Arabidopsis thaliana: one gene and its partners. The protein of the gene in region 2 interacts with the protein of the main gene of each other region in a pairwise test. Each region holds a gene or a part of one and is shown on either strand. Other genes may lie near its edges. The genes, in order: AT4G30660, ABCI12, DER1 and AT1G15610.

Region 1 (4,607 bases), on a different chromosome or scaffold from region 2:
CATCTTCGACCTCGAAACTCGGTTTCTGTCGTTCCCTGAGTCGATCAACTGGTGGACTCCCGAGTTTGAGGATAAAGTCGATTCATTTCTCCGATCTGTTGTTGATCGGAGTGAAGGAGGTCTCACAGAGATTCGGATCAGGCATTGTACAGAACGCTCTCTATCTTACGCCGCCGAGAGGTACGTATCACTTTTCGTGATAATTCTCAGTTTTAGCTTGAGTCCATAGAGGTTAATCGCAGAGTTTTGATAGAATGAATAAAATGTCATGTGGTTTCCATTTGCAGGTGCCCTAATCTAGAGGTACTTTGGATAAAGAACTGCCCAAATGTTACAGATGCGTCAATGGAGAAGATAGCTATGAACTGTCCAAATCTTAGAGAACTTGATATAAGCTACTCTTATGGCATAACTCACGAGTCTCTGATAACATTGGGGAGGAGTTGCCAAAATTTAAAGATTCTGAAACGGAATTTGTTGCCCCGGCTAGGTCCTAGCCTGCCAACAATCGTCGCGCCACTAGACTATCTGGCTACATTTCCTAGATATGGGAATATAGAGGCTAGAATAATTGGGAAATACATGACACAGCTCAAGCATTTGGAGATTCGATACTCCACATTGACTGCTAGAGGACTTGACTCGGTTTGTAAGGGATGTTCGAATCTAGAGTACATGGACTTACGCGGATGTATATCATTGACCAGAAGTGATATAAACACTAATACGTCGGGCTTGAAGAATTTGACGGAGATCATTAAGCCGGATTTCAATCCTCCGATTGCTGTTTTACGCGTTCCAAGACCTGGTAATCCAAGAGAGGAATGATGGTGTTTGGTTTTTGTTGGACGCACGTTTTGATCAACTTGTTGACCGGTTTTTATGCTCAGAGCTTCCTCTATGGCATTTTTTACTCTGTTCTTATCTATGTTTGAATTCCTAAAACAATGTGAAACCCTTTTTCTTTGTGAGTTTGTCTTGTCACTAAATTCCCAACTTTTGGTGTGTTCTATTAATATTCTTCATTGCTTTAGGTCTGAATCATAGTGTTAAGTGAAATAAACATTGAGGGAAATGGGTTAAGTAAATGTACTGAGATAGCTTGCCATCTAAGCAAGCAACAGAAAAATTGGGCTAATCAAAGTCCGGTCCCGGAAACAATAGAAGACAGGCCTTCTAGGCCAACTTAGTCACGTGATCCATTAACCGTACGATAAGGGGGCGAGTCAGAGTAATAATATCCCACAATGATCAGGTGTGTTGTGTTGCACCATACCTTGCGTGTTCTTGAGATGAAAATATCTAAAGAGTGGGGGCAAGGTAAGGTAATTTTACGAGATGTCGGCATGTAAGCTGAAGCCGTACGATTTATATACCAAACAAATAAACGGTGCAGATCTCGTAGTTGACTTGGTAGCGCCAAAAATAAAAAGCCGTGGATTGCTCTTTTAATTGGATCTCTGTGCTACCGACTACTTTCAGTGTTCTCTTCTTCTCCACTAATTCAGATCACATTCAAGAATCTTCTTCACTCACATCTCTGAAAAAATGGCGAGCAACATGGAAGTTTTCTGCGAGATCTTAATCGCGATCCTTCTTCCACCTCTTGGAGTTTGTCTCAAACGTGGCTGTTGCACTGTAAGTTATTGGAATTTTGGAATCATGAATCTTGAGATTTAGTTTAGAAAATCTGACTCTTAGTTTTTTTGCAGGTAGAGTTCTTGATTTGCTTGGTGCTGACAATCTTAGGATACATCCCAGGGATAATTTATGCACTATACGTGATCGTGTTTCAAAACCGTGAAGGCTCTACCGAACTTGGAGCTCCACTTAACTCAGCTTGATCTGTTTTGGTCCATTACACGGATCAATATGTTGTTGAAACTGTTTTACTTATCATGTACCAAATAATAAGTTGCTTTGCAATTTTTATGTATTGAAGATTTGAGAACATTGTCGCGTTATTGATACATTGCTTATCTTTTTGATGTATAACTTGTTGGCTTTTGCAAAGTCAGGCTACGGACCTTCCTAAGAGTTAATGTATCAAATTCTTTGCCAAGATTGTATTTACCGGAGTTTAAACTTCGCAAAATGCGGAAGCATTTTTGAGTTTGAAAGGATTTTGTATGATGCCAACATATATTATGGTATAGATTATGCTAAAAAAGATAGATTTCTGTTACTTTGGCAAATAATGACAATGATTGTGAGTTGAGGAATCAAAGTCTCAGTAATACGACACCGTTTGAGTCAAAACGTTTCTGTCCAATTCCAGTCTGGTCCCGGGATTAATAAAATAGACAGGCCTTCCCAGGCCCATTTAGTCACATGGATGAGTCAGAGACTAAAATATCTAAAAGTGATCTGATGTGATAAGGGTGCACCATATCGTTCGTTGTGATTCACGAGATGTAATCTAAAGCCGTACGATTTAAATATCAATAAATGAACGGTGCAGATCTCGCACATTGACTTTGTAGTGGAAACAAAATAAAACGTGGACTGATCTCTCTTCATTGGTACTCTCAACTCTGTGACAGCAAGTTTCAGTGTTTTGTCTTTTAAAAAAACTCTTAAAGCTTCTTCTTCTCTCATCTCATCTCTCTGAAAAAATGCCGAGCAACTGTGAGATTCTGTGCGAGATCATTATCGCGATCCTTCTTCCTCCTCTCGGAGTTTGCTTCAGGAAAGGATGCTGCACTGTAAGTTCTCTCTCTCTCTCTTTCGAATTCCTCAATTTTGAAGAATCCTGGAACTTCTTATAGAGACTGTAATTTTGGATTGATTATAATGTAATTTGGTATGAGTAATGAAGGGAGTGCTTAATCTATGATATGAATCGCAGAAATTCTCTGGATTGGATCAATTTATGTTTGATTCATTGATTCCTGAAAGCTTGGATAATCATTTGAAGAAAGTTGAATTTTTTTTATGTGTGGTTTGTTTTGGCAGGTGGAGTTTTTGATATGCCTGGTGTTGACGATCTTAGGCTATGTCCCGGGGATAATATATGCGATTTACGTGATTGTGTTTCAGCACCGTGAAGAGTACTTTGATGAATACAGACGCCCCATCTACTCTGCTTGATTTCTGTTTCTTTGGAACTGTGTTGCTTTGACTTGTACCAATAAAGTTGCTTTGCAGTTGTTTTCAGAGATTTGAAAACGTTTGTGTGTCATTTATATGCAATATTGAAAGTTTCTTCTGTTATCAGCTTATGAACCCTCCTGCTATGTGTGCTTATGCATCAGGTTGTTGACATAGTGTTTTCGCAAGGCACAAATTAAATTATTAAATTGAAAGGTTAAAAAAAAAAAGAGTTTAATTAGAAGGCGAAGAACATCAACAGAATTGAGCTCGCGACCGTGGAACCGTAGCGCAATGCCATCGAGAGACAAGGTCGACTAGTAGCGGATGATCCACCCGCACCATGACCACTACTGGGGACACGACGGTGGCTACGACCACCACCACGACTACCACCACCAACACCACCAAAACGAGCTTTCCTCATGAAAACTCGAAGAGAGTCATGATGATCCAACGGATTGGAGTCACCGTGTTGTGCAAGTCTTCGTTCACTCTCCTTATTTTCAGATGAAATTGGCAAAGGCTGAGAGAGTAACAATAGGAGTACAATCAATGAACAAGAAAATGCCAGTGAAGTCCTCATTTCTGTTTTATCAAATAATATGTGTGTATATACATGTATCTGATCGAAAAAAATCAGAAATATGTGTTAATTTTACAATGATGGGACGCATTATGTGTGCAAAAGAATTAGTATTTATAATATCGCTAGGCTTAGGTAACGAAACGACCATGGCTTAAACATGGGCTACTTCTTCTTTGAAATGATGTTTAATACTATTATTGTATTTAACTATTGGGATACTTATTACTTATTAGCAAAGAAACTTTCCTTTTGCCAGCAACAAAGAAAGTTTCCGAGAGGCAAAATCTAATTACGTAAGGGAGGATCATGATTAATTAAGCCTAATGGGTAACAGACCCAAATGTTATTATTTATCGTTTTCTTATGTGAAATGGAATTTAGTGAATTTCCAACGTAAGGCAAATAGTGGTCGAAGGGAAATGGTGCCTAGTAGTTAGTTCTAATTGTAACTGAATTTGATTGAATTCATGTAGTAGATGTTTTAAAGAGGTTGTTGTTAATGGTAAGAATAAACAAAGGAACAATGTTCACTATACCTGCATTCTCTCTCCACTCAGTCTTCAAAATAATTGATCGTGAGATTAAGAACACTATCACCGCCAAAAAAATCAAAGGGGTCACTTCTGAAATCTTATGGCTGCGATAAACTGGCCCGAGATTTTCCCACATAAGTTTGTTTTCTTGTTTTTTACTCTTTTTTTTTTTTGGCCAAGTACACAATTGTATAGGTTTAACCAAAGTGTAAGTTCTGATTATTCATATTAATGATATTTACAATTTAGCAAACAAACAAAAAAATTCCAAAAATAGTCGCATGTAGTTGTGTGTCAATGATAAATTGTCTTAGACAATCAGTTATTATTCATTAAACAAAACAACTGGAACCACAATATTAGACAAACCAGATCAGACAACTTTTCAAACATTG
Region 2 (5,538 bases):
ATAATTCATCAGAGAAGAATAACACACTTGGGATTATGTATAACATACCTTAGGAGAATGATATCACAAAACACCAATGTAAACTCTACAAAAACCAGTTAAACAAGCAACTTGATGAAGTCTTGGAAAACATAACACGTATGGTCAAATTTAGAAGTTGTTTCTATAGATGAAATCATATATTAAGAAAAGGTATTCTCTCATCTTCTGTTGAAACAACTTGCTAGTTATACAACTAGAAAATTTTACTTATTCTTCACTACCAAGCTATATGATCATATTTTATGGTCTTACATTTTTGTTGGTTATTAATATGATCAAATGGTAAGTGTTTACGTCATTACCTTCGATCATCCAACATTATATAGGAACGAGCCTCACATATAAACCAAACTTAAAAGTACTACTGTACTAAGAAAGAAGACACAATGTCCACATCAACCCAAGAAAACCAATCTGCCCAAGCGGTGAACGAAGAAGTTTTGTTGGAGAATCCCGATTACGGAGTCCAAATCGTCGATAAATCCGAACTGTTGGAGCTAGCCTTGAGTTTCTTAGGGGAAGACGGAGAAATCATGGAAAACCCTGAGTTTCTTGGAGATATCATGGGGGAGAAATCTTCAAGTACTTCAGGTAAGAACAACAATGAAATTGATTGGAAAAAGTTTGCACCGAAGGCTGAAGACTACAAAAATGGTGTAGCCAAGGCCATCGCGGTAGGAACAGGGCATATCATCAAGGGAATCTTCACTTGTAGCAATTCTTACTCTAAGAAGGTCTCATACATATAAGTCCCTCTCATGATGCTTATGAGTGTTAATAGATGATTGTGATTTGAATCGAAATATTTGTTGTAGTAAAGAATCATGAACTTCCAATTCAAACCCAACTTGTGGAACGACTTATGTGTTTTATTTACTAGTATAGATCATCTTATTTTTGTGTTGGATTTTTAAAAACTTTTATATGAACATGGAGATGTAAGACGCACATATTGTAGTATTTTTTATTATTAATATCGTTTTATTTTCTTACAACAAAAACAGATTCACGAGGAAGGAACGATTGCTGAAGAGGATGAGGAAAGAAGTGGTGACATATCACAAATTGATGGAGGTGGCAACAATGAAACTAATAAGAAGAATAAACTCAACAAAAATCTTCAAAGGTATTCATATTTTAATCTCTATCCCACAAAATAGTATATATTATACCAAACAATAAAATCTTGGTTCTTGTTCCTTCTTATAATGAACCAAATCTTGGTTATTTTGTTGGATGTAACATATACATAGAGCGGAGAAGCTGTGGAAGGTGAGCGAGGCTATAGGAATGGCGGCCTTAGAAGGTGGAGATTTGGTGAGCAGTTCGATGATAGCTCCGGTGGTTAAGTCGAAGTTAGGGAAGGCATTGTTATCCACTGCTCCAGGAGAGGTTATCTTGGCATCACTTGATTCTTTTCGTAAGTTACATAGAATAGCTCCATTAATTGTCAATCTATACTCATATTCATTTATTTTGAAGTTTTTGAGATCAAAATTTAAATAAAACAGATAAACACTTTGATGTGGTCAATAGATAATATAATTGGTGCTGCTGAAGCGGCAGAAATACAAACTCATTATGCCACATCCATGGCTGCTACTAGACTTGTGAGTAAGAGGTAAAAAGCTCACTTTGTGATCCTCAATTTTGAGAATGAATTATGTTTCTATAGTAACACACCGGTATTTGAATCAAAAGAATGATTATATCGGTAGAAAATAAAATCGAAGTTGGTAGAATTATTGTATAGCGTGCATACAATCTAATAATTAATTACCAAATAGTTTTGAGGGGTAGCTAATGATTTTTAGAGATAGGTTATCATTTTTATTTGTTAGGATTGTTTAGATGAGTTATATAACATGTTTACATGACCATCGAATTTTACAATTTTATACATTTATTGAGTTGAGTGTAACACATATTCACATTTTTGTGATGACCGCACCAAAGTTTTGGAGAGAAAGCCGGAAAAACCACCGGAATAATACTGGAAACAACGGGCAGCTTAGGCCGAACCGCCTGGAATATTCAAAAAGCTCTCGAGCCAACTTTTTCCATCACCTCAAAAATTGTCAAAAATGCTCCTAGGCAGTAATATGTTATCTATCTTAAAAGCTAAGTTACATTTTCATATGCTGTATTGTATCAAATTACTTAATCTTGGTTTTGGTGTGGCTATGACTCTACGAGAAAAGATTTATACAAAAAGAGTGTGAGAAAATCCAAAACGAGTCTATATATACATCAAATTCGAACAAGAACCGAAATCCAAATTTTGGTATACTTTGACTTTTGTTATTATGAGAAGTTGAGAACCACAGTCAACGTCCGACAAAACCAACAAGTACAACAGTTTAACACTTGACAGTTTACAGTATCTCTCTCTCTACCAAGTACAGAATTTCCCGCTCTAGGGCATATGTCTGATCCAATCCGAAATTGAAAACTCATGAATCACTCCAATCTTGCCAATCCAACAGTCTCCCTCACCGTAACCCTAATCCCCAAACACCCAATTCGTCATCTCACATCTCCAATTCCTAACCGGAACTTTACAAACCCTAAGCTTCTCTTCCCGCTCCGGCTTAATGAGACTCCTTCCTCCTCTCTCGCCGCGAAAAGGGTTTTCATTGTCAGAGCCACCGTCGACGGAGACGGTAAAACCGGTAATTGGGTGAACCGGTTACCAATTCCAGGACTTGGAGCCGAAAACGTCTTCAGATTGATTTCAAGCGCCACCGGAAGTCCCATCGGACAATTCATATCGTCTCCTGTGACATTTCTCCACTCGGTGGATCCCAGAATCAAATTGGTATATTGAATTCTTGATTCTTATCAAATTTCTAATCCAATTTTGTTAAAAAGTTTGAGTCTTTTTTTTTTTGTTAAAGCTTGAATTTTGGTATTTGTATATATGTGTAGGTATGGCTATTAACTCTAGTAGTTCTTCCAGCAAGAGCAAATCTAGTTGTGCGTTTAGGACTTGTTCTATGCACAGCTCTTTTGTCAATCCTTGTTCTCCCAAGACAAGTTTGGATAGTGAGTTCTGTTTCTCTGTCACAACTCTGTTTCTATATGTGATCTATCTGCTCTGCTGAGTTTCCTAACTTTTTCTGTAAAGGATCAATTGGCGAGAGTGTCGCTTCTTTCGGGTATTCTCTTCATAACATTGGGGCTAGGTTCAGATGGTGCACCTCCAATGCTTCAATCAAGAACACCACCATCTTCAATCACAAGCTTGCCTAATCTTCCCATGTCTTTAAGCGGTTATTCGTACATGTTACTGAAGCTTGGTCCTTTGCAATTCACAAGGAAAGGTTTGTCTGTTGGAAGCACAGCCGCATGCTTAACCTTTATTGTAAGTCGGTTTTTCGACTTCCGCGGTTTACCTATTTCCTTTCTTGATTAGATCACTTAATGGAACATTTGGTTTTTGGTCACAGATCTTCCAAAGTGCTAGTATTTGCCTTGCAACAACAACACCAGAGCAACTTGCACTAGCTCTACGTTGGTTCTTGTTCCCATTGACATATATTGGTGTTCCAGTCAGTGAAATTATCCTCACGCTACTGCTTTCACTGAGATTCATTAATTTGGTTTTCGATGAGGTAACGACTGTTCACTTATTCGCTTTAATATTATCAATCAGCCTAGTTATTCCAAGTCCTAAACCACATAATGGTACGTTGTGCATATGTTACATTGTAGGTCCGAAGTGTTTCACTGGGAATTGTATCGCGAAGAGTAAACTGGCAGCAGCTTACTGTTCTGGAGACACTTGATAGTAAGAATCTAAAAGTTTCTTCTCTCTTTCTATATACATCTCATCTTACAAGTGATCGCTTTTTGTAGTTTTCGCGTCATTCATACGCCGCATCTTCAAGAATATATTTCGTCATGCCGAACAAATATCACAGGTCAAATAGATTTCACTTATTATCATCTCATTGATTTGAGAATCAAATAAGAATTCTCTGTTGAAGAAGTTTGTAATTTATGTGCATGCAGGCCATGATTGTTAGAGGCTTCAGAGGAGAGAGCAGTAGCCACAAGATCTACTTCTTCTCTGGCTCTTCGAATAAGTTTGCAGATTTTGCATCAGTTTTGTGTTTAATCGGTGTAATCTCAACCGCACTCTTGTCTGAATACTTTCTTGTCTAATATTGATTCATACTAATCTTTATTCGAGCTAAACTTGGAACATAATTCAGAAGAAAAGATGATCTTGAGGTAGAATCTCTATCATGATCATCCAAATGTTGTATGTGATAAATTTCTTCCCCAATGTGTAAGATTTCGTTGGGGGTCCGGTTAGGGTAACACAATACAACTTTGTTATGCTCGCCGACCAAGAAACTCATCCCATCAGCAAACATATTCCAACTCGGATTAATGGTTTGCACTGTTGAGAACTTGCTCCATGAGATGACTGAATCCATACTAGTTGTCACCCATACATTTAAGTCTTGTGAATGTGTTTCATCATTATAATAACCTAACACTAACAGACAAAGTTTTCTATTTTTGCACGAAGAAATTATACCTAATGAAACAAATACCCTTTAGAAAAAGTGTAAGAAATTGCCACATTTCTTCTTTCAAATTACGTCAAAAATACAATCTATACTTAAAGAGTTAAGAAAGATGATCCCAAGCCAACCAAGGGCGTGATCTCTTCAATCTCACTCGATAAAGTCTGGTACACCCTTGTGTGATTTGATATGGTTTTCGTGTCCAGAAGAGACAAAGGCAGACGAAAACAGTGTCTCACATCTTTTTCTAGAAAATAACGGGTCAATGTCTTCCCAAGCCACTCGTGCTTGCTTCTATAAACAACATCAATCTTGAATTCTACCAAAAACACTCAAACTATATTTCGGCAATATAGTTTCTTGCATTGGAAGCAATCACTTGTTTCCATCATCACAGCTTGAAAAAGATTTGTCATTGGAATTAGTTCATATTTACAGTTCTCATTTAAAACATGTCAATATATGTAGTCCAATGCTTGTTTGATTAATCCCATAGAGCAACATTACATTAATTCAGCAAAAATTAGATTTGTGGAAAATCAAATTTAAAAATGGAAAAACGGACAGGGAAACAAACTAAATTAAACAAAAAGAAAAATAGAATTATGTGTTTAGGTTACAGATGCATCGTTACGAGGAAACGAAGCTCTGACAGAGAAGCCATTTTCTCCATTTTTGTCATCTCTTCTAATTTCTTCTATTTATTCCAGTATTCCATTAACCAGCAAAAAAACTCATAAATTAGATTATTTGTAGATTTTAACCAATTTACAAAAATTTCGAGCAGGAATCGAAGAAAAGGACTATTTGACCCTTTTCTTCTTCCTCCTCCCTCATTTCTACCACCACGATTTCTTCTTTATTTATTAGCCGCCGAAGGGAATTCCTCCGGCGCCATTTTTTATAATTTTTTTGTTTTTATCTTTAGAGATGGGAACCGAAATTATCAGGCCTCAAA
Region 3 (6,483 bases), on a different chromosome or scaffold from region 2:
GATACTATTATTGAATGGATTATTGCAAAACTTTAGTACCCTAATTGATTTAAGGAACGTACTATTTGCTTCACTGAAAATGATTCATTGCCATCCATAATATTCTTTTGATATCTTCTGCTCTAACTTGGATATATGTTAGCCAAAAACAATAAAAACATCTCGATCACGTGCAAAGATCTTGAAATAGATATGTCTCTCTATTTTTTAATGTCTATGAAAGGACGTAACAAGTTTCTCTTCTATTTCGCATTTGGTAATACATTAATGTTTTAAGAAGACATTTGCCCAAGTTGCTAATTTTTTCTTTTTTTCCTGATGAATATTCAATGCATCTATGGCTTTGACAAAAAAAGAGATAAAAAATGAAGGAAACAAAATAACCAATGCATGTAAGTAATAATACTCTTCTCGCAAATGAAAACAAAACCTCGAACAATCAATTTACTAGCTATGCGCTAGGGCCAAGCTACTATACTAGGCACTAGGTCCGATTTATTCAGAATCAGTTTTGATATGGATATTGGTCGGATTCGTTCAACCCACTGATTCCAATTTGGTTTTGAAAAACAATGTTCGGCCATTTGCATCCAGAGTTATTTAAATCACGAAAAATATAGTTTGCTATTTATCATATACATACGGAATTTGCATGTTAACACTATTGATCAACTAGATTTTTCTAATGTTATATTTTTTTTGGTGGGGAAGTATTGAACTTACCTTACCACTCTTTTTCGATTCAAATACTAAGAATCACATTTATCAGTTGTGAGTTTAGCTAAATATGTGGGTGGTTTTAAATTTGTGAGTATTAAATTTGTCATTTCTATCACAAAACAATGGGAGAAAAAAACGAAAAACTAGTTTCCCGACATTAAACATGCGAATTACTGAAACATGGATAGGTCCACCATTTTTGCCATTTGACAAGCTCGGTCTCTTGTTTTCCTTGTTCATAAATGATTTTAGTTTGTTTGCTTTTTTAAACGCATCTTTCTATCACTTTTTTCTTTTGGTTGCAAATATGTCGTTTTCTCTCCTCCCTCCTTTTCCGGGATTTAACTTATCACAATGTAATGAAATTTGCATGTTCCTCTCTCGCCATTGGCAAGTTCCATTGCGATGTCTCTATCGATAGGTCAAACAATCCAAAAGAACCAAAACCTTTTTTCTTTTCTTTTCCACTCACATTTAATCTAGGGACCCTTTAATCTTATTCATTTTCTCAACGATAATGTAAAAAAGTATAGTTAGTAAACTGTTAACTGTGTAGATTATACATGTTTTTTAATCAATCATATAATTAGAAGGGGTATTTAGCCGTCCAAAAGCTGTTTTCGCGTGACTATGCATGAAACCCACTTACGTAGCCTCCAACGTAACGACCAATAAAAAGCTCTAACTTAGGAACATTACAACGAACTAATATTTAATAAGTTATATAAGGTCATGAAATGAAATCTTATAACGTATCTAACAACTCACATGATCTATACCATGTCACATTTTTTATCAAACATATGTTAACCACCTAAGCACTAACACTACTCTTTGATCAAACTTATATTTCGCATATACTCCAAAAGAAACCAAGTGGCATATTGGCATATCTCGTAATGTGGTGCCAAAAATGCTTATCAACTTAATTATAGTTCAGATATTGTCTCCGTATCGTATCTTAATATTTGTATTCAACAATAGGTATTATGTTGTATTAGCTAGGTGTGATTTGTAACGAGAAGAGATATCTCGTTCTATTGTGAGGTAAAAATAAAATAAAGCAGTACAAGAACATAACGGTATAAACGGTTTTTACTGTTAAAAAACTTGTAATTGTTTATGTACCAACCCTATTGATTGTGTTTAAGAAATTATTTTTAAATCTTGAGATTCTTATTCAAATATAAACATTGAAGATCGATATTGCTCAATATCACAATAATCTTTCTAAGTTATGAAAAGAACGTCTACTACTATTTGTTTAAAACTACATAGGACAACATCAAATCAGTTTTGAAATTCATTGTAAAATTCTTTTAATACTAAAATTGTTTACAGTTAATGAGAAATTACAATATTATTTTTAGCAGATTATAATTAGAAAATACATTATTATTATTGATCAATTTACCTTGCAGTTCCACGCAAAACCAACAAAATAACAAATAACAAAGCATTGTGTGGAATGACGTAAGGATGAGTCAGCAGACAAGGAGTGAGATCGAATCGGGTCAAGATTATCTGGTTGGGACCCGTCACATGCACATGGACCCTCTCCCGTACCTAATCCAGGTTAAATAATCTTGATTTTCTGTTTAATTACCTTAAAAACACATTATTATTGAAACTAATAATAAATCTCGGATCTTTGGTTCCGACCATACTTGCGAAAGATCATTGCTTTAATGCTAATGTTTCTCTAATTTTGATATTCCTTGAGATTAGATTCCCTTTGCATTGTCTTTTCTTGTTAATTTGTTAGGGTTCATATTCTTACATTATTTTTTTTGGCAAAGAAAAAAACATTTATAAACATATCTAATTCGAGCCTGATCTATTAATGGGTCAAATAAAAGCCTCTTTGGCCCAATTCAATAAACTGGCCAACTGGGGATCATCATAGAGACAGACTACTAGAGAGTAGAGACGCATCAGAAAGAAGAGAAATTGATCCCACAAGTTTAAACACGATTACAAATTAAAACGTGCCACGTATTCAAGACGGTGAATTAACACGACGTGGCAAGGTATGATTGGATAACTTACGCAGCTGCCTAACAAAAACAAGTGATTTGAGTTTTCAGATGATTAGAAGGAAAAAAAATTCTGGAACTTTCGAGCTTCTGTTTTGCGGTGCTCTCAAAGCTTATATCGGATCTCGAATCTTGAATCGGACTCAGAACCTCGGATCTTCGAAAATCGACGAACATGTCTTCTCCTGGCGAGTGAGTTCCGTTCCCCTCTATTGAAACTTTGCTTCGATTCGATTTTGATCGAGAGATTCTTAGCTTGGTCTTCGTACCCAGGATTTTGAGTCCTTAGGTTAATAATTTTCATGATTCGTTTAGCTTGTATAGGGGTTTTTGAAGCATTCAACTGTTGATTCTTCTCAATTCGAGCGTAATTTTGCAACACCAAGCGAGTTCTGTGAACTTGAGCTAACGCTATTTTTAGTATATAGTTATCAATTTGCATTGTCATCATTTGATATTTTGGTGATTTGAGATGTAAAGAAACATCTTTTATGCCATGGAAGTTAGTACAAGTCAACTGGTAGTTAGTTCTTGAAATATGGAATCTCATAGTGTCTTGAAGCAAAACTGTTCTCGTTTGCTGTATCATAGTTACAAGGCTACTTTGATTCTCCTAGCTACGATAGTCTAAAATATCTCTGCGTAGGCTTGTCTCTTGTGGTAAAGTTTTATGCTTTAGCTGATCTTGATGACATTTCCTGATTAGAAATTTATAGATGGATGGAATATGTATGATTTTGATTGTTTATCTGTCAAATTGTTTCTTAGATCGCTTGTTATTGATTGCAGATTCTATAACTCACTTCCACCTATAACCAAGGCTTATGGTACGTTGTGCTTTTTCACTACAGTAGCCACGCAGCTTGGCTTAGTTGCTCCCGTTCACATTGCTTTAATTCCTGAACTTGTACTTAAGCAGTTCCAGGTATATGATTTATTCTTTTTTATGATTTTCCTTTCTTTCTCACAAATCTCTGTCATCCTAAGTTCCTAATTCATTCTGCAATTTTTGATCTATTTGGTGTTTGTAGATCTGGAGGCTGATAACAAACTTGTTTTTCCTCGGTGGTTTCTCTATCAATTTTGGAATACGTCTTTTGATGATGTGAGCATACTATTTTCACATATATAGATGAACAAAGCTAATTTCGATTTTTATTATCTTAACATACTCTTTTAAATGATTGTGCAGAGCAAGATATGGAGTTCAACTCGAGAAAGGGCCATTTGAAAGGCGGACAGCAGACTTTTTGTGGATGATGATCTTTGGATCCTTCACTCTATTGGTATGTAAAGCCTCCCCTGTATTCTATTCTTACTGATCATTGTTATTGGTTCTTTGAGAACCCCAGTACTAGTATGTGGTATGCCACAAAGTAGATAATCGCTGGTACATAATATCCCAAAGCTGAGAAGATCAGAAGCTCTCAAAGAATTGAATCAGGGTTGCATTTTATTAAAGCGAGACAAAATTTTGGAAGGTATTCATACTAGTAAATCCGTGTGTTAAAACAGTTACCTTGTTCAAATTTCAGGTATTATCAGTCATACCATTTTTCTGGACACCGTTTCTTGGTGTTTCACTTGTGTTCATGCTTCTTTATCTCTGGAGCCGAGAATTTCCAAATGCCAACATCAGCCTATACGGTCTTGTCACTCTTAAGGTATTGAAAGTGTTTCTTTTGTAATCAAATCCACTCCTTGGTATATATAATGTTAATGGTGAAAGTTGGAATTACTCCACAGGCTTTCTACCTCCCATGGGCAATGCTAGCACTTGATGTTATCTTCGGTTCTCCGATCATGCCAGATCTTCTTGGCATCATAGCTGGACATCTATACTACTTCCTAACAGTCCTTCATCCTCTTGCTACCGGAAAAAACTACCTGAAAACCCCAAAATGGGTGTATCCTTTATTCAAATTCTCGATTATTTCCAGATGATTGTTTCTCTCGCTTCTCAGTTTTTGTTTTGCTGTTGTACCTTGACATTCTCAACAGTAATAAAATCGTAGCAAGATGGCGAATTGGAGCTCCAGTTGCAAGTGTTCGACAAGCAGGTGGTGTAGGAGCAGCAGGACCCGGAGCTGGAGGAGGAGTAGGAGGAGGAGGAGCTTATTCAAGCGCTCGTGCCCCACCCGAGAGTTCAAACACAGCATTCAGAGGTCGATCATATCGTCTCACCGACTGAAATAGAAATCTTCTCGAGTTTCTTTGTTTTCATCATATCAAATCTTTTTCAAACAATGCCACTAACTAATCCCAGGTAGCTTTGTGTTTTCGAACAGTACAGTTTTTGAATATATGACTCTGTAGGAAGAATCTTTGAGGTTTTAATACAATGTTCTTTTCAAAATGTGGTTCATGTTTCTATGTTTTTGTTTTTGTCTAGCAATCATCTCCTTACTAAATTGAATTCGATAAACTATAGCCACTATGAATATAATCAAATGAAATTTGTGACATAAGAATTTGGACGTAACGAGTTTGAATATCTATCTAGATAAGTTATTAAATTCGTGACCAAAGAGTTTGGTCGTAACAAGTTTGAATTTTTTAGGACATAATATTATTATTGGCTAACAAGATTACGACTAACGAGTAAATAATCATTCCTTCGGTCCTTCCTCTAAAATGCCGTTGGTGATCGTTTATAAATAGGGGAAATAGGAAAAGGGAAGAAAGTAGACGTGGCAAATAGCGAAACAATGATTGAGCTATAACAAAGGCGAAACTTGAGCGGCACTAATTGAAAATCACTCCTTGTTTTTTTGAAGAAAAAGTAAGATGTAGGGCTGAGAATTCGTCTATGTGATCCAACGGTTTTAAAATGATCCTTGTTCCTTCCTCTCCTATTTATCTGAAGGACGAAGTCCCCACGCTGCACATAACCGGGGCACTTAACGTATAGATCATAAACAAAGAAGAAGAAAAAAAATAAGAAAAGAAGAAGAAGATGTCGTGGCAAACTTACGTTGATGAGCATTTGATGTGTGATGTTGGCGATGGTCAAGGACACCACCTTACTGCTGCCGCTATCGTTGGTCATGACGGTAGCGTTTGGGCTCAGAGCGCCAACTTCCCTCAGGTATTTGATTTCATTGCGTCTGATCTCAATGTGATTTAGATCCTGATAGTGTTGCTATCCGATATGATATGTGTTTTTACAATGTGATTTAGATCATGCATCATGTTTTGATTAGATTCTATCAATGTTTGTCATGGGATATATATATAGTGTATTTTGTGTGTGTGTGTTTCTTTTTATATGTTTTGCATAGATTTGAAAACAAATGATGCATGTTGTCTCATGGTAATCGACTAATCGTGATTTGGTCTTTCATATAGTTCAAGGGACAGGAGTTCAGTGATATTATGAAAGATTTCGACGAACCGGGTCACTTGGCACCCACGGGATTATTCATGGCAGGAGCAAAGTACATGGTGATCCAAGGTGAGCCCGGGGCTGTAATCCGTGGCAAGAAGGTAACCTAATCAGTAGCTTCATGATCAGATATGCAAATACCATGTTGAAGAGGGTTCTAATTCAATATATGCTTCTTTCAATTAGGGAGCAGGAGGCATAACGATAAAGAAAACAGGACAGTCATGTGTGTTTGGGATCTATGAAGAGCCAGTGACACCAGGACAGTGCAACATGGTCGTCGAGAGGTTGGGTGATTACCTCCTCGAACAGGGTCTCTAGAATCTTCTTACAATGTTCCAC
Region 4 (4,714 bases), on a different chromosome or scaffold from region 2:
CTCACACGTATTTCATTCGCAATGTATAGACAAATGGCTGAAAATCAAATCCACATGCCCTCTCTGTCAATCACAAGTTAGGTGGTGATGAGATGAGGTTGATTTTTTTTTTATTTTTTTTTCGCTCAAGAGTAATTGTACACATTCAATAAACAAAAGTGGTGGGAAACTGAAAGATACGATCCTGTCTTCTTGTGTTGTCTGTCTTAAAACAGAAAATAAATATCATACAGATCATTTGACCTATTAACAATTTAACTTGTCCAAAACATCTGCAATATATATAAACATTGAAATCTCAGCTTTGATCTTCATTTTTCAAAATAATGTTTTATTTGTAACACGACTAATACGTACTTAGTATTGATCTGGTCTAAAAAAATACTAATAATTTTATCAACAAAGAAGGAAAGGTATATGCTTTGTGCTCGTCAACGCAAATTTGAATGAACTTTTCATTTGATCGGCAAGAAATAGGAAAAACCAAAAGTGATCAATGGAGGGCCCTTTGTTGAGCGAGTGTGAACACATCATTGACATTACAAGCGATGGTAGTTCTTCATCAATTGATGGTCAGCAACCACACGAGGGTGTTGAATTGGGTGATCCATACACAAATGAAAGCATTTGTAATTCAATCGAGTTTGTTGTGACTTTGGTCTTGATTGCTGCGGTCATAATCGTTCTGATTGAGCCAAGAGATGAAGAACATCCACAAACAATGTTGTCTATATGGATCATCGGTTATACATGTGGCTGTATTGCCACTCTCCCTATCCTATGTTGGCGTTTTTGGCTTTATAACCGAAGCGTTGGCTCCGAATCTACAGATGAATACTTAAGAGAGACAAGGTATATATAAATTGTGTTTTCTTTTATCTTTTTATGCATTAGATTGAGATATAATGGTTTTATTGGTTTGCAGAATCAACAAGGATATGGACTTTTTTATGACGGGTTTCTTCGTGGGTTGGTATGTGGTGTTTTTATGGATTCTTTCTTCCAAAGCATTCGACTCATCAGCTCTAGATGATACTACAACTCAATACTTCTGGTGCGTATCAAACGAAATTTCCAATCATATGTATACCTTAAAACGTATATATTGACCTTTCTTATACTCATGCCTTTGGCCTTCTTCATTGTCTCTTTTGCAGGTTATGTTTGGCTCTCCTTACTTTCAGTTGCATTAGATATGTTCTTTTTAATCTAACATTGGCAATGGTCTGTTATACTACTCCTTTGCTTTTACTTACGCCTGTGGTCATATGTGTTCTCCTTGCTGTGGAAGTCTTAAAAGGCATTGTAGCATGCATTGTATCATGCATCTGCTGAAATCGAACTAATAAAAATATTTTGTTTGTAAGCCTAGGAGAATGGGCGTTTAAAATCAAAGTAAAGCAGAGTACCAGAATAAAAATGTTTTGTGTTCATGTTGATGATTTTAATCTTATTAAGGTAGAGAAAAACAGTAGCTAAGGTTTTTTGAAATGATCAAATATGATCATCTCGTCTTATTTCCTCTTTTTATTTTATTTTTCTCCCTCGTTAATATTATTCTCCATTAAATGACAGTTTTGACTGACCATTCTTATTCGTGCGTTTTCGCTATTCAGATATGTATTTTAAGGGCCCGTACTTTAATGGGCTTTTTAAAATCTGACTTATTTCGAGTCGAGTCCTACCTCATTGTGACATTTACCCAAATAATCACGTGTTTCAGAATAACCTTTTATAGGCCTTATTATTTTGACAGATTTGGGTAAATCGAAATGGATATATAGATAACTTTAACACCAAAGATAAGATAACTAAGAAAAATAATAAAATATTATAGTTTCCCAAATAATAAAATTTAACACCAAAGATTTCTCCTTTTACAAAAAAGACATATTACTTCTTCTAGCTTCCCAAATAATACATCAAGCACCAAAGAATTAGGAAGACTATAATTTAGAACCAAATATTTTGAAATTTTACTCTAACGGGCTACAATTGACTAATAATTGGTCTTGGTGTAGGTAAAACAAAAACACACAAAACAAATGTAGCTCCGAAAGTCTACTCATTGTAAAGGACTTTATGTGATTGACTTAGAATTGGTATTGGTGTCGATTAGGTCTTAAGATAATAATATAGCTGGAAATGTCTATTATTCGTATTTAGAGAAGAATGACTAACTTTTTTTTTGTTCGTTAGAAGTTTACAATTGACTTATAGAATAGATCTTGACGTAGATTGGGTCTTAGAATAATAATTTAGCACCAAAGAATCGGAGAGGGCTTTATGTAATTTGTATTTCAACGCTTGTTTAGATGAACTATTAATTCGATTGGACAAAATAGAAGAAAGCAAAAAAGTGATCAATGGAGGGCCCTTTGTTAACCAAGAGTGAGCACAACGTCGAAGACGTTACAATCCATGGCGATTCTTCCTCAAATGATGAGCACATCATCGACATTACAATCAATGGCGGTTCGTCATCAGCTGATCATGAGCAAACTCCACATGAGGCATTTCAATGGAGTTGTCCATTTACAAGTGGAAGTTTCTGGATTTTGGTCGAGTTAGCTGTGACTTTGGTCCAGATTGTTGCAGCCATATTTTTTCTGATTCTAACAAAAGATGAACGAGATCCAGAACTAGATGTAGCTTTGTTTACATGGATCATCTTTTATACTTGTGCCTCTATTGCCACTTTGCCTTTTGTATGTTGCCGTTTATGGCAGTATATCCAAAACGCTAGCTCAGAGACAAGGTATAAACTGTGTTTCTTTTTCTTTTTCAGGCATTAGAGACTGATATCCTCAACAATGGTTTTTATTGATTTGCAGCAACGAGGTGATGGAGTACCGTTTGGAAAATTTTCTTGAATCTTTCTTCGTGTCCTTGATTGTGGTGTCTTTATGGCATATTCTAACCGAGTCATCATCACGTCAAGATACTAGTCGACACTTCTGGTGCGCATCTAACTAAATTTACAATTATGGCTAAACAACATAATTTACCTCTCTAGAACTAACAAATGTCCTTTTCCAGGTTATGGCTGGGTCTACTTGCTTTCAGTTGCATTCGATATGTGCTTCCTAATTTCCAATTTACCGTACAGTTATTCATGTTGCCTGGGGTGTCCCTTGTTACTGCACTTGTGGCCGCCATAGTAACGATGATTAATTCGTTACTCTCACTCTTTTTGGTCATCATTGGACTCTTTGCGTTAACCTTTTCGTGGATCATTGGAATGTGCGGATAAAAATGATGGATCATGTTGTTTTCTTCAACAATTGTTGTAATACTCTCTTTCTATTTATTAAATAAAGCCAAGTGTCATTAGCATTACCGAATCCTCTATTCCTGAAATGGCCGGCAAAACTGAAACTAAAGGCTTCTCTGTACCAATATCTCTGCAGCAAGATAAACATTTCAGTATCTGCATTTCAACATGTACAACTGGTTTGTCTATTGTAAAAGGCCTCTTTGGCCATCTTGATGAAGCGCTTCATGTTGAGACAGCATGTGGCACGCCCGACAATTCTTTTTAAGAGTGCACCCATAACATATATGTTCTTATGCTATCAAACAACCCACAAGGAACCTGAAGATGATAACTACTTGATAGAGATGATATGACTTCAATCAATCTCGATCGGGTTCGGTTAAGGGCACTAATAGATAACCTGCTATATGGGAGTGTGAAGACCATTAATTGGTTTTTCACATATATATGACTGAAGAAATCAGCCGTAACCAAATATTAGTGTTTTTGCATCAGTTGGGGCCTTGGGGGTCAATTATGGAGTGGAATAATACATGAAAACTTGAATGGTCGCATGCAGAGCAGAGGTAGCCTTTAAATTAAAGCACACATCAAAATGTAGTGCAATGTTGCGAACTTTTATTCAACTAAACAATTTAACACTCGATCTTTGTGCGCCAATACCTCTGCACAACAAACAATTTAATCTCATCAATATGATCCGATTTTGAAGAACCACCTTCTTCTTCAGTGACTTCTCTGGCTACCTTCCATTAACTGTCGCTGTCATAACGACGTGGAAGTTAACTTAATTGACTTTTAAAAGATTAATGATGCTGTATATTGGTCTTAAAATGGCACAAAAGGTTCCGTCTAGGCTTTGTGTTTCACTTTAAGTCTATAACTTAAAAAAAAAAAACTACTAATTTAGCACCAAATAATATCATAACCATTTTATTATAAATGACTATAATTAACGTAGAATTGGAATTGGTCAGTTGGTCTCGAGATAATAATTTAGCTCCAACGAATCGGACATATCTATGCTTTTATGTTTTTTTTTGGGTATAAGAATTTGTTATTAATTCTTATACCAAAATTATAGATATGATATTGTTTTATTTTAAAACAAAATAAATAATATATATATGAATGGTTTGATCTGATATTGGTTACGGTTAGGATACAAATTTTAATCCTGATACCATAGAGGTTTTATTAGTTCAATTTTCTTTCCGTTTGTTTATGCTCAACTTCAGATTCGTTGTCTTGCAATATTAAGATATGGTTCAATTATTGAGATATCATTTCAGTTACGTTCGCATCCGATTTGTTTAAGGTAATTGTAATGTTTTAATGATCACTTTTATTTGAATTCTGAAAATTGAAGTTTTAAAGATATTTTTTAAATAATCGATTTCAACAAAATAGAAAGAATTGTAATACATATTTTTTTTA

The links.
Region 1: the proteins of ABCI12 (region 2) and AT4G30660 interact in a protein complementation assay, tested with the Arabidopsis thaliana proteins (one large-scale study listed by BioGRID).
Region 3: the proteins of ABCI12 (region 2) and DER1 interact in a protein complementation assay, tested with the Arabidopsis thaliana proteins (one large-scale study listed by BioGRID).
Region 4: the proteins of ABCI12 (region 2) and AT1G15610 interact in a protein complementation assay, tested with the Arabidopsis thaliana proteins (one large-scale study listed by BioGRID).

The regions. Positions count from the first base shown.
Region 1 is NC_003075.7:14,952,855-14,957,461, forward strand, and holds AT4G30660 (Low temperature and salt responsive protein family), read left to right. Parts: upstream 1-2,524; 5' UTR 2,525-2,615; coding exon 2,616-2,705; exon of another isoform or gene 2,706-2,955; coding exon 2,956-3,090; 3' UTR 3,091-3,146; exon of another isoform or gene 3,147-3,306; 3' UTR 3,307-3,317; downstream 3,318-4,607. Other genes in the region: AT4G30640 (RNI-like superfamily protein), read left to right, coding at 1-180, 288-828; AT4G30650 (Low temperature and salt responsive protein family), read left to right, coding at 1,549-1,638, 1,713-1,844; AT4G30662 (uncharacterized protein), read right to left, coding at 3,329-3,676.
Region 2 is NC_003074.8:7,600,680-7,606,217, reverse strand, and holds ABCI12 (cobalt ion transmembrane transporter), read left to right. Parts: upstream 1-2,318; 5' UTR 2,319-2,497; coding exon 2,498-2,860; intron 2,861-2,970; coding exon 2,971-3,087; intron 3,088-3,169; coding exon 3,170-3,406; intron 3,407-3,491; coding exon 3,492-3,656; intron 3,657-3,756; coding exon 3,757-3,832; intron 3,833-3,900; coding exon 3,901-3,965; intron 3,966-4,056; coding exon 4,057-4,209; 3' UTR 4,210-4,396; downstream 4,397-5,538. Other genes in the region: AT3G21590 (Senescence/dehydration-associated protein-like protein), read left to right, coding at 429-633, 703-776, 1,047-1,168, 1,296-1,462, 1,579-1,667; AT3G21570 (proline-rich nuclear receptor coactivator), read left to right, coding at 5,511-5,538.
Region 3 is NC_003075.7:14,442,006-14,448,488, forward strand, and holds DER1 (DERLIN-1), read left to right. Parts: upstream 1-2,547; 5' UTR 2,548-2,931; coding exon 2,932-2,948; intron 2,949-3,545; coding exon 3,546-3,681; intron 3,682-3,787; coding exon 3,788-3,861; intron 3,862-3,948; coding exon 3,949-4,042; intron 4,043-4,291; coding exon 4,292-4,420; intron 4,421-4,502; coding exon 4,503-4,663; coding exon of another isoform or gene 4,664-4,700; exon of another isoform or gene 4,701-4,757; coding exon 4,758-4,947; 3' UTR 4,948-5,232; downstream 5,233-6,483. Other genes in the region: PRF4 (profilin 4), read left to right, coding at 5,713-5,844, 6,105-6,242, 6,328-6,462. UniProt on the Arabidopsis thaliana protein: May be involved in the degradation process of specific misfolded endoplasmic reticulum (ER) luminal proteins.
Region 4 is NC_003070.9:5,368,427-5,373,140, forward strand, and holds AT1G15610 (uncharacterized protein), read left to right. Parts: upstream 1-2,330; 5' UTR 2,331-2,366; coding exon 2,367-2,758; intron 2,759-2,834; coding exon 2,835-2,960; intron 2,961-3,039; coding exon 3,040-3,253; downstream 3,254-4,714. Other genes in the region: AT1G15600 (uncharacterized protein), read left to right, coding at 497-852, 926-1,054, 1,158-1,335.